Saccharomyces cerevisiae S288C: one gene and its partners. The gene in region 1 interacts genetically with each later gene. Each region holds a gene or a part of one and is shown in the gene's direction. Other genes may lie near its edges.

Region 1 (4,679 bases):
TCTGTCCATCGAAGTGTCAGTAAAAATCAATGGATGCTTCCTTATACTACCCATATGTTTCGTTTCACTTTCACTTTCAAATTCAGCTTTCTTCTCGAATCTTAACGGCTCTGAAGAAGAGTTTTTTTCTTTTAACGAAATGCGAAGTAAAACCTGCCTAAAATCCAACATGATACCCTTGTAATATGTCATATAAACGGTGTCTCCCTCTTCCAGAGTGAAATTAATGAATCCTCCCTCGTCTTGAATTTCTTTAACACATTTTTCGTTAGAGAATCTGGGAACAAGCCTATATGCCCTATTATTGTTATTCATGGTATCCTTTAATTGATAACAATCAAATTGCTTACGATAGGTAACGATTAATCCGTTCATACTGAAGCAGTGAATCTTCACTTCATTTGTTTGTGGTAAATAAGTTATACTAGCGTGTACTCTGGATATGAACTTATTCTTACAGAGCGCAACATCACATTGCGAACTATTGCGCCCTACAGTAATGGTGCTGATCTTGCTAGGATCTAGTTCAGCATTGATGACTCTAGTATGCCTTGAAGGAGAAGAAAGTTTGGAAGAAAACTTGGGTGACGTTTCTGCCAACTGGCCAGGAAAAGCTGGAGAGGAAGGGATGGCGTCAACCTTATTCGACCTAACGGGAGACGAAACCCTTCCTATACTGGAAGAAGGAAATGGAGTTGGATAATCTCCTTTCCCGAAATTTCCAATTGATTCTGACGCAGTTTTACCAGCTTTCTCATAATTGGATGAGGGACAATTAGGCTGCTGTTTGTAATTTGGTGGAGAGTACGGATCCACTGTCCTGTAGGGGGACGAAGGAAATTGCGAGCTCATGCCTTCTTGTGATTATTAATCTTTGATGTGTCGTGGCAGATGTATATGGACTTTTGTACGTAAAGTAGATTGCTATAATTCAATTCTAAATGAATGAAAGTAGAGAAAGAGTTTCCATTGATGAATTTTAGTTTACGTCGACTGCCGCTGTTCATTCTCATCAAAACACGAAAGCAAACCATAGAGATGAACTTAAGAAAAAAGGGCCACGGGATTTTTTTTTCGCGTTTTGGCGTTTTCATATCAAAAAAAAAAAACCATATTAACATCTGTACATTATTATTAACTAAACATCCGTACACAAAAGGTTTTCCAAGACAAAACGTTGTCGAGACTATTCTCTTTCGAAGAAATTCTAAAACACACTTCGGCAGGCCGGCAACAAGAAGGCGGCCCCTTGGGGAAAGGGAAGTCAATCCGTCTGCCCGTTCTCTAGGCTGATGGTAGGCAGGGCGATGCCATACTGGTGAAGTGTGGTCCGTCGGTCTGTCTCCTCCAAACGTTGATGTTCTCCTGGTAGCTTTCTCATCACCGTCAATATTACAAGTGTAAGAATGAGAAATGCTCTATATGAGGGTACTATTAAATTTCAAAAATGTTTACTTTTAAGAGGTATTTGCTAAAGCCTCATACAAATAATATAGACAAAAATGGGTAGTATGTAGTAGGACATTGAGAATAAAACTGTGAACCTGTTATTGACGACCGTGGAGAAATGTTATGATTATCTGAAGAGAAATATCGGAACGCATGCACACCAAATTTATACTTAGCAAGACTGGACGATACGAGACTGGTATACTTGTATGAAGACAGAATAGTGAACGAAAGACATGCGCATGACAACAAATTTACCGTATAGAAGAAATATTCTGCTTGTATGCCTGAGGGAACTCGAAAGGATCAATTTCAATGGCGTTGTAACAGTCACGAAAAAAGTGTAACTATAAGATAAAGCAAATTGTACTAACAAACTTAACCAAATTGCACAACAATTTGATTTTCTTTTTAAATAGAGGGTACTCCTTCATTCGGTAAACGTCACAACAAGTCCCACACTTTGTGTAACAGATGTGGTCGTCGTTCTTTCCATGTTCAAAAGAAGACCTGTTCCTCCTGTGGTTATCCAGCTGCTAAGACCAGATCTTACAACTGGGGTGCCAAGGCTAAGAGAAGACACACTACTGGTACTGGTAGAATGAGATACTTGAAACACGTTTCAAGAAGATTCAAGAACGGTTTCCAAACCGGCTCTGCTTCTAAGGCTTCTGCTTAATTTTTATACTAAGATCTATTTCTTTAAATGAAAACTCAATAATTAGAGACCTTATATAATAACCAACTGCAAAAAAACTTCTAAACAATTAGTTAACAAATCTCCAGCCTTTTTTTAATATATCTTTATTCATATGTAACGCCTTTGAGTGCTTACGGGAAAAGTAGAATTGATAGTTTCGTAATTCATGACCGGAAAAAGTGAAAAATTATTGTTCGATGAATATATACAGAGATGTCTTGAACTGTTTTTGCCAGCATCATTCGTTATAGGGAGCAAAGTTAGTGCAACCCAGTTACCAGATATCTAGTCACCAAGAAGAAAACCCGTAAAATCGTAGGTCATGGTCGAAGATTCCAGAGTTAGAGACGCCCTCAAAGGTGGTGATCAGAAGGCATTACCGGCCTCTTTGGTTCCTCAAGCACCTCCTGTCTTGACATCAAAGGATAAGATTACTAAGCGGATGATTGTGGTATTAGCGATGGCATCCCTCGAGACACACAAGATATCGTCCAACGGGCCTGGTGGTGACAAATATGTCCTTTTGAACTGTGACGACCATCAAGGTTTATTAAAAAAAATGGGTAGAGACATTAGTGAAGCAAGACCTGATATTACCCACCAATGTCTTTTGACGTTGCTAGATTCTCCAATCAACAAAGCCGGAAAGCTGCAGGTCTATATTCAAACAAGTCGAGGAATTCTGATCGAGGTTAACCCCACTGTTCGTATACCAAGAACTTTCAAAAGATTTTCAGGTTTAATGGTTCAGTTACTACATAAGCTTTCTATCAGATCGGTAAATTCTGAAGAAAAGTTACTTAAAGTCATTAAGAACCCAATTACCGATCACCTACCTACTAAGTGCCGTAAGGTGACATTATCCTTTGACGCACCAGTTATCCGCGTTCAAGATTACATCGAAAAACTAGACGATGATGAAAGTATATGTGTCTTTGTTGGTGCCATGGCAAGAGGTAAAGATAACTTTGCGGATGAATACGTCGACGAAAAAGTCGGCTTGTCCAATTACCCATTGTCTGCCTCAGTTGCATGTTCTAAATTTTGCCATGGCGCTGAAGATGCTTGGAATATTTTATAGTGTTTAAGTCTACTTGGCATCCTCTTTGTATAATAAACAGTCAATATACGATATAGAAACAATCGAGTTAGCGATTAATTCGACTGCACCTCTATCCTTCCCCCACGCGAAATAATGGTTCGGAAGTCATCTGAACGAGGCTCAGTCTTTGAATATTTCACCTAATTCGGACCCTGAACGGTGAACAAAATTTCAATATGATATAAACAAAACGTGGAAGAACTCTTGGCAAAGACAAAGGATAAAGAGCTCGTTGGAAAAGTTTTTTTACAACTGCAAACGGCACTTAATATTGCTAATTAACTTGCCAGTATCATTTCCCTAGCGCCTTGCCGATTTGGTCTTTTTGGCACTGTTTATTCTTACTAAACGATATTCGTAAAACGGAAATCAAAGAAAACCAAAATTGAAGTCCCAAAGCGTGGCAATAAAAGAACAAGTAACTGCAAGAACACCAAGAAGCTACAGTAAGAAATGAAAAGGATTTTCTCTGGTGTGAAGTCCCCAAAGTTATCTGCTCCCCCAAAAGTTTTCAAAAATGATGAGAGCCCATCCACTCCGAGCTCTCCCAAATTCGACCAAGGGCTTCGAAGTTTATCAGCATCAGCTTCAAGACTCTTCAGTAACTCAATATCCACTCCTGGGAGCCCTACGTTAGATCTTCCGCAAGAACACTCTATTAATGGTGATATCTCACCAGAACTAGTACCAATCGTTACTTTACTCTCTGCACAGGCTCATAGGAGATACCATTATGGTATATTCTTGATATTACATGATTTGAAGACAGACGGAACACCTGCCGCGCGTCAGTGGGAAGAATGCTATGGTGTGTTGCTAGGAACTCAGCTGGCTTTATGGGATGCAAAAGAATTATCAGATTCCAAGAATAATAAGAACACATCAACCATGAAAAAAGCCGCATCGAGACCTTCTTTTATCAATTTTACAGATGCTTCTGTGAGGAGTTTGGACGCTAATGATCAGGTAATCATTGCATCAGAGAACGAAAAGACAAAGAAAGATCTAGACAATGTTCTTGTTGTTTCAACAACTTTAAAAAACAGGTATTTCTTAAAATTCAAAAATTCAAAATCATTCAAAACTTGGAACGCAGCAATTAGGCTTAGTTTGTTCGAGTTTACGGCGTTGCAAGAGGCCTACACGGGCTCATTTTTGTCAAGCAGAGGTGTTAAACTTGGTGATATCAAAGTTGTTATGGCAGATACAAAATTCACTTATGAGGACTGGGTTAGCGTAAGATTCGGGACAGGTATGCCATGGAAACGTTGTTATGCTGTTATTTCTCCACAGTCTGGCAAAAAAAAGAAAAATTCGAAAGGTTCAATATGTTTCTATGAAAATAACAAAAAAACCAAAAAATCAAACATAATGACAACGGTAGTAGATGCACGGGCTTTATATGCCGTTTATCCTTCCTCGCCGATA
Region 2 (4,535 bases), on another chromosome or scaffold:
ACGATTGATCAAACTTTGCTGATTTCATTCAAATCTTGCAACTGATTTTTAAGCAGCTATTGGTTTTGATAATTTCTTACTTTCAAGTAATTGACTTCGATGGGCAAAGTCACTCAGAACGGAAATATGCAGCAGCTATTCTAACAACAAAACCACGAATCACACCAAAAAGAAGTATGTAAAGGCATGGAAAAAGAAGTAAGCATTGGAATATATGAAATCCTGCTTGTTGATATTCCATTTCTGTGCGAAAAAAGAGCAATAAGCTGGCTTTTAATAATGGGTTGGAGCCATGGATAAGTACGGACATATAGCTCATCAAGAAGGCGATGTTTGTTATTATATTCCAAGGCTGTTCAAATACAACAGTTATTATAGTGGGACAGAGGACGTTCGAATATTTGTTGGAGATTTAAAGTACCGGATGAGAGTTTCTTTGCAAATTTGCGAAAAGTATTATGATAGGCGGTTGTCGATGTTGTTCTGGAAAAATCATCCTTTACAGCAAATACACCTTATTGGCTGCATCATTGGACTCCAGTTCAAATGGATTGGGAAACAAGAATACATTTTTTTTCAGTTGGACGATTGTACTTCAGACTCTTCATTGGTGGGTTATACTAGTGACATGAGATTCTTAACATGTAAAGTTAAGAAGGATAGCATCCTATCATGGGGGTTGAACATAACCGATTTGATAGGCTTAACTCTTCATGTCTACGGGCAAGCAAGTTTGAACTATCAAGAGCTTCAAGTTGAATATTTAAGATTATGCTACAGTTTAACGGAAGAAATAGATCATTGGAAAATCACAATGAACATGCGTGAGCAACTTGACACGCCTTGGTCCTTAAGCGATTTTGTAATTGGAGAATTGTTCACGCAAGAGCAAGAGTGGACACCTGAGACATCACAGATTGAGGTAGTAAACCCGGATTTTGTAGGTATAGGGTACAAAACCCCAGAAAGTAAAAGAAATGAAACTACTTTCATCGAGCAACTGCAAGAAGAACGCTTGAAGGATGAATTAGAAATTATTAGTCCATACAATAGCACAGATACTTCGAATAGTGTGCATTCCTTGTCATTTCGGTTTGTATCGTCGCTAAAGGATTTTCCTGAAACTCACTTTTTGAATTCAGGTGATCAAATTGACAACGGCAATGACGAACAGTTAAAAAAACTAGAATATCAAAGCGCTAATCTACCTGTGATGATTCCCAATAGGACATCAGCAAAGTCAAACTTGATGTTGATCCTATTAGGACTACAAATGAAAGAGATTTCTAATTCTGACCTTTACAAACTAAAGGAAGTACGCAGCGTAGTAACTAGCTTAGCATCGTTTTTGTTTCAACAACAAAATGTTGGCGTCATGAAATCTTTTGACTCTTTGGAAAAGGAAGCGTTTCGAGACCTGGTTAATCGTCTAGTCAGCCAGGGTTTGATCGGATTAAAAGATAAAACAAGTGAGACATTTGATTTGCTTCCTCTAAAAAATCTTTTTGAATATGCTGAAAAACGTATATCAGTTCTAATGAAGCTACAATGTTATACAGGCACTGTGCAATTAAGTCATGTTCAGGAAAAGCTACATTTGCCGTACATAACAACGAACGGCATCGTTGATGTTTTCAAAGAATGTCTTAAAAGGACAAAGAAACAGTATCCTGAGGTACTAAAAAATTGGTGGATTGATCTTGATCCGAAGAATGGTATGGAGGACCAAAACAGTGGAATATTATTACATTTGGAATACGCAGCAGCATATTCATAATTTGTTAGAAAACTCGCATCGTCAATAACGGCGCATCTCTCTAGGCCTGAAAAATTTTGCGATGAGCTCAAAATAAGATACTATAACTTTATGCATATATTGTATATATATTATATCAAACAAATAAGGACGTTAACGAAATTTTATATGGCCTTATTTAACGTAGAAGGTTGGTCTATTAAGACAAAAACCGTCGCTTTTGATAACAAGACTAATAAGTCTTCAAAAGATAAAAAAAAAAATAATAGAAAAAATGGCAAACTTACAAGAGAACAGAAGTTGAAAGAAGAGACAGAGGCTGAGTTGAAGGAACAAGTGGAAGACATTCCTTCCGAAGGATCAGTAGCCAAAGACATCCCAAAAAAAAACCAAGAGAAAAGTGATCAAAATGAAACGAGCAAGAAACGCAAGCACGATGAAGAAGCCCCTCTGATGCAAGTAAAAGAAAATATTGAAAAACCTACAAAGAAGCAACTAACCCCTTTACAACAAAAGATGATGGCTAAACTGACTGGTTCTAGATTTAGATGGATCAATGAACAACTGTATACAATTAGCTCTGATGAAGCTTTGAAATTAATAAAAGAACAACCACAATTATTTGACGAATATCATGATGGTTTTAGATCACAAGTGCAAGCATGGCCGGAAAATCCAGTTGATGTTTTTGTTGACCAAATTCGTTATAGATGCATGAAACCTGTGAATGCTCCAGGTGGGTTACCAGGTCTTAAGGATAGTAAAGAAATAGTTATTGCTGATATGGGGTGTGGTGAAGCTCAATTAGCATTAGAAATCAACAATTTTTTCAAAAATTACAATAAGAAAGCGAAGAAATATTTGAAAAGACGCCATAAAGTCCACAGTTTTGATTTGAAGAAAGCTAACGAAAGAATAACTGTGGCAGATATTAGAAATGTGCCGCTACCAGATGAGTCCTGTACTATAGTGGTCTTCTGCCTGGCTCTAATGGGTACAAATTTCCTCGATTTCATAAAAGAAGCTTATAGGATTTTAGCGCCAAGGGGTGAATTATGGATCGCAGAAATTAAATCAAGGTTTAGTGACGGCAAAGGTAATGAATTTGTAGACGCTTTGAAGCTGATGGGATTTTTTCACAAAAAGACCTTCGACGAGAATAAGATGTTTACAAGATTCGAATTTTTCAAGCCACCTGCGGAGATTATTGAAGAGAGAAGGCAGAAATTGGAAAGAAGACAAAAGTTTATTGAAGTTGAAACTGAGAAGGAAGAATTAGAAAAGAAAAGACGGAAAATTGCCGAAGGAAAATGGCTCTTGAAGCCCTGTATTTATAAAAGAAGATAACGACTTCATCCGTCATTTTCATATTTTAATATTGTTTTTTCTTTTGTATACTATATTTATACATATAATTGTATTCTTTTCCTGTAGTACATTGCGTAAAGTAAAAATCATCTAGAAGAAGTACTCCACAATGTTCACATGAGGGACAAGGTTTTATTGTCTCTGGAAAAACGATTGGATATTAGCCAGCCTTGAAAGATTTTCAAAGCCCGGAACAGAAGGAAGAGCGAACCAATTATTAGTATCTTGACCGTCAGATTGTCCACTATTGGGCTCCCATCTATCGCAACAACGAAATCCATACGTGTTCCAGGCGGTCAGACACATTGCAACAATGACCAAAATCAGGTAGAATATTTTCAGTCTTAAAAGACACAACACAGCGAAGACACCCCAGATTACGGGTGTCACATACATCGACCACCAGAATAACTTAGAATCGATGGCATTTATTGGTGGGCCCGGCGCATATTGCTTATATGATTCGAAAGTAAAATTAGAATCTTTGTTCACATCTGTAGAATCATACCACCAGCGTAATTGGACCAGTTTCCGACCTGTAATGTTTTTTGTTAAGTAAAAGTCAAAAGAAAGTAAAAGAACGACAGTGATGAATTGAGGTGTGAAATTCAAAAACATTGATCCTATGATATAAAATACAATGGGAACTGCCTTACCTGCCAGATGAAATGATAGTAGCAACGGGTGCGACGATTTTAAAATTGTGTTGTAGAAATTTCTTGCCTGGTCCATGTTTCATTCGTAATTAGAGCACCAGCAGGTTTATAAAAGCGTATTGAACCGTAAATCCTTTAAGAACCACGCTTTTCTACATTTACATTATGTACAGTTAAAATGGAAACGAAATCCCTTTTCACCCAAAGGCGCATTGCGGACAAATAATAGGTTCGAGGTCAAGGTAAACAGGAAGCAAGATGCAAAAGAAGTAACTGGAATGGAATGTATACATTGATATATAAATATGTATGACGCCTTCTATTGCAAAAAATAAACTGGATTATGTTACGTTAATAACTCAAATTAAATAATGTGTAAAGCACTTGCTGTTCTCATGGACAACCATCTCATTTTTTTTGTAAGAGTTAAGTTCAAGTTTGATCTCATTCATGGCACTATTCATGCTTGGATGTACTTTCATCATCCACAACAATCTGTGGCGATTCATAATGAATTCCGGATTAGCTCTCTCATATGCATTCGATGACCAAGTGCTTGCTAAACATACTTCTTTTGCAAACCGGACATCTTTTTTTATTGGTTTTGGAGGTGTTTCGACTTTATCAAATGAGGAATCTGGCAGCGAATTCCTTCTATCTTCGAATCTGATATACTCCCAGTCATTTCTCAACCTATTTACCATGTCGTTCCCAACATGCATTGGTAAGCTTATTGGACCTGACAGAGACTGTCG
Region 3 (3,944 bases), on another chromosome or scaffold:
GCACTAAACACTCAAGATACCTCAGATGCCAATAATAGAAGGACCGGAGTTATTGTCGGTTCTACGGTTGGAGTTGTCATTGGAGTTGTAATAGTAATTTTTATCGGATTCATAATTATTAGAAACAGACGAAACGTGAAAAATCACAGCAAAAAGGGCTTTAGCCATGATATTGGCAAGAGGGTAAGTTGTGATGAGGTAACAGAAACAGAAGCACCGTCAAATCCGTTCCTAAATGTCCTTAATTATAAAGTAACAACCAACGGCGAGGGCAAACGAGATTCCTTTGAAAATGGTAGAGATTTACACAGAGCTAGTTCCTCAGACGGTATATATATAGCACATCCTTATTATGGGATGGCGGATCACGAATCCGGGAGATTTTCATACGTATCGTCATACAATGAATCTGCGGAGTCATCCATTGAAGAAACAAGTTCCAGTGCGTCTACTATTACTCGGCCAAATATTCAGCAAACCAATAGCTTTTTGAGAGAAATTATTTAAAAATAGAAAAAAGTGGATTCCAAGATTTTCGTACTTCTAAACAAGGCTGGTACTTGTTGCTATTTCTTTGGAATTATTTGTAAATTTATGCACGAAGCAGATAGAGTTTTATTTATTCAACAGTATTTATATAATAAATATTGATCTTACTATACAACTAGATTCGTATAATCGTCTGTTTCGTCACAGACGGGAAAAGAGGGACAAAAAGAGAAAATGTTAAAAATATTATGGCCTATTTTTTGGCGTTCTTCCTCTTTTGAGCACCTTTAGATTTGTTATCATTCTTTTTCGCATTGTCAACTTTCTCAGTCTTTTTACCGGCATTGGCAGCTTCTCTTTCTTCTTGAGCATAAAACTCCTTTAATCTTTTTTGCAAATCCCAGTTACTGTACCACAAACCAATTTGTAGGATGATAACACCGGCAAACATAACTAATAAAATTATGTTGGAGGAAGCAATAACTGCCAAACCCTGATTTTCCGTAACTTCTCCCCAATTATGGCTCACAGAACAGTCGATACCTGTTTTCACATTAGTGAGAAACACACAGATAGCCAACACGTACAACCCCAATGAACAATACTCAAACATCTGCAGTTCAGGGTTTGGCTTGAAAACCTTAATTGTACCACCAACTAAGCCAATACCGGCAACAACGCACAAAGTAACAATCACCGGCAATGGAGTCTCATGTAAAATTTGGTAATGTCTCAGTGCCAAATCGAAATGCTCTTGAGTAGAGTTAGGATTAAATAAAAGATGATAATCGTATGGCATGTTACTGAAGAAAACACCCATTAGGAACGTTGTGGCCGATAAGATCATGGCCGTACCGATAGAACAGAAATCTGAATATGAGAACATCGTTAGAGTTTTATCGTATCACGGGATTTTATGCTCTGTAGTCCAATGAATTTACGGCTGTCTTCCAAAATACTTAAATCTGTCCTTTCATCAACTTTTTATATTTTTCAGAGTTTTTACACAACCCGAAAAAATTGTTATCGTGTATTAATTTTAGTACATTATAAAAAAAGATGGAGAGGGAAAGAGCCACCAATTACATTGGCGAAAGGTGATGGTGTAAAGTAACGGCAACCAAAAACAATTATGGATGGAAAACTTGGTATGAGAGTACTATTATTACGAACTCCACATTAACTCGATTCACCAAGTCCTTTCCCCATACGTTTACCCGGCATTCCTGAAAATTTTCTAAGATTTTTTTCTTCTTAATCGATGAGCTTAAAAGGTTTTCTGAGAAAATGAGAAAGTAATCTAATGTAGAGGACAGGATAGAGATTGAAGACGTCTACAGCTAAAATGGGGTCCGAGGAAGATAAAAAGTTGACCAAGAAGCAGCTCAAAGCTCAGCAGTTTAGAAAAAGTAAGGAGGAAAAAGATCAAGAGAAAGACGTAAAAAAAGAGCAAGCACCAGAAGGAAAAAGACCCAACAGTGCAGCCGGAAATGATGGTGAAGAACCCGTGAAGAAAAAAAGAAAAACACGTAGAGGCCGTGGTGGTAAGGGCAAAAATGGTAAAAAGGGCAACAGATTTATTGTCTTTGTCGGTAGCTTACCTAGAGACATCACTGCTGTTGAATTGCAAAACCATTTTAAAAATAGTTCACCCGACCAGATCCGCCTCAGAGCTGACAAAGGTATTGCATTTTTGGAATTCGATGCTGACAAAGATCGCACCGGCATTCAAAGACGTATGGACATTGCCTTATTACAACATGGGACCTTACTGAAAGAGAAGAAGATCAATGTCGAGCTAACTGTTGGCGGAGGTGGTAACAGTCAAGAGCGTCTAGAAAAATTGAAAAACAAAAACATCAAGTTGGATGAAGAACGTAAAGAGAGGTTGACAAAGATGATTAACGACGGCAACCAAAAGAAAATCGCCAAAACTACCGCCACTGCAGCTCAAACCTCTGGAACAGACAACAAGCCTGTTCCTGCAGGAATTCATCCTGATAGAGCCAAACTACTTAAATGAGTACAAATTTAATTTTATACGCCATGTATCTTAGACAAAAAGAAAATAAAGGGAAAAACATAAATAATCGTGCAGAATCATGCTACTGCCAAAAAAAGAAATGGCAAAGATGCCCAATACGTAAACTCTTCCGGAAGCAATAGCGCCGCATTATTACCGCTGCTCTATTTCACTTTATCATGAAAGACGAGACGGCTGGTACTTTTTTTTCCCCAAATCGGAGCTACTTTTCCGCACTTCAAGTCCGGTGGGAATTTTTACTACTACCCCTTAATCAATGCACTCCCCCCGCAATGACGTACAGGGGTAACATGTCTAACATTTAAGGTTACGGCTGTTAGCATATTGGGGGTTATTTGAATTATAGGAACGCCAAGAAAAAGGACAGAGGGTAAAAACATTCTCGGTGCTGCCGGATTGCTTATTAAGACGTATCCGTTAAACAATCTCCGCTTTTTTTTTTGTCTAACAGCCGGCTCTCTTTGGCTAGTCTCCATCCCTTCGTCACCTTCGGCTGTGGTCACACAATAAGGAAAGGTGCAAAAAAAAAAAATAAATACGAAAATCTGGAAATTGAATTCTTTTCATTAACATTCATTCACTCACTGAACTTATTGTCAATCGGAACATATTTCCTTGCCTTTATGAATTTTTGAAAAGAAAAAAGTTAATAGGAAAAACTAGATAGATTGCAAAAACGTTCACAATAGCGTACGTAATCCTTTTACTTATCATACGGAGTGATGTCGTTGTCTAGAATCCTGCGATATAATCAGAGAAATAACAAAACTACAGCTTCCTTGACTGCAGAACACGCCTATTCCGATAATTGGGCATATTCCGTCTCGTTAGGCGATCCCACTAGTGTTGGTGTGAATATGGCTGCTAAGACGGGTGAGGCGCTAAATAAATCATATGATTCCGTTTTTTCTTCTCTCCCTGTTGCAGATAGTGTACCTCGGACAGACTTTACTGCATCTTCCCGGGATGATGAAAACACGGACGTGCAAAAGCTGACCACTTCCTGGATGGAGAAAATTGACACGAAGATGCCCGAAAACATATCTAAAATCGACTCTAATATTATTTCCTCTCCCATGGTCAGTAAGGTTGAAGCAAGATTTATTGTTCCTAAAGGAAGATTGAGGAAAAATTCTACCGATTTTACGTCATCTTTCTCAAACTCGTTAAGTTTACCCAAAAGTTATGGCAAATTAATTTTCTTTACATCAAAGAAAAACAGCAGTAGTACCAAAAAAAATCTAGCGAATGATATCAGTGATAACAAGCATAACAACAATTCTTCTAATACTATCGGTCACAATATTCCAGTCACGACAGCCACGGCGACATGTGATGAGATTGCATGCACCTCCACAGAACATGAATATAATGTTTATGAGGAAGAGAGGATGTTCACTACTCGTGTATA

What was found. A genetic interaction does not mean that the proteins touch.
Region 2: mutations in EMG1 (region 1) and RRP8 are lethal when combined (synthetic lethality), as found in Saccharomyces cerevisiae (2 studies listed by BioGRID, with this or other methods).
Region 3: of EMG1 (region 1) and NOP6, a mutation in one rescues a mutant of the other (synthetic rescue), as found in Saccharomyces cerevisiae (one study listed by BioGRID).

What each region holds. Positions count from the first base shown.
Region 1 is NC_001144.5:521,161-525,839, forward strand, and holds EMG1 (18S rRNA pseudouridine methyltransferase), read left to right. Parts: upstream 1-2,471; coding exon 2,472-3,230; downstream 3,231-4,679. Other genes in the region: TOS4 (Tos4p), read right to left, coding at 1-852; 60S ribosomal protein eL37 RPL37A, read left to right, coding at 1,503-1,509, 1,869-2,128; SKG3 (Skg3p), read left to right, coding at 3,705-4,679. UniProt on the Saccharomyces cerevisiae protein: S-adenosyl-L-methionine-dependent pseudouridine N(1)-methyltransferase that methylates pseudouridine at position 1189 (Psi1189) in 18S rRNA.
Region 2 is NC_001136.10:610,149-614,683, forward strand, and holds RRP8 (25S rRNA (adenine645-N1)-methyltransferase), read left to right. Parts: upstream 1-1,924; coding exon 1,925-3,103; downstream 3,104-4,535. Other genes in the region: STN1 (Stn1p), read left to right, coding at 293-1,777; TVP23 (Tvp23p), read right to left, coding at 3,257-3,856; AFR1 (Afr1p), read right to left, coding at 4,140-4,535. UniProt on the Saccharomyces cerevisiae protein: S-adenosyl-L-methionine-dependent methyltransferase that specifically methylates the N(1) position of adenine 645 in 25S rRNA. Required both for ribosomal 40S and 60S subunits biogenesis. Required for efficient pre-rRNA cleavage at site A2.
Region 3 is NC_001136.10:75,857-79,800, reverse strand, and holds NOP6 (Nop6p), read left to right. Parts: upstream 1-1,834; coding exon 1,835-2,512; downstream 2,513-3,944. Other genes in the region: YDL211C (uncharacterized protein), read left to right, coding at 1-507; SHR3 (Shr3p), read right to left, coding at 743-1,375; serine/threonine protein kinase PRR2, read left to right, coding at 3,256-3,944. UniProt on the Saccharomyces cerevisiae protein: Predicted to be involved in rRNA processing.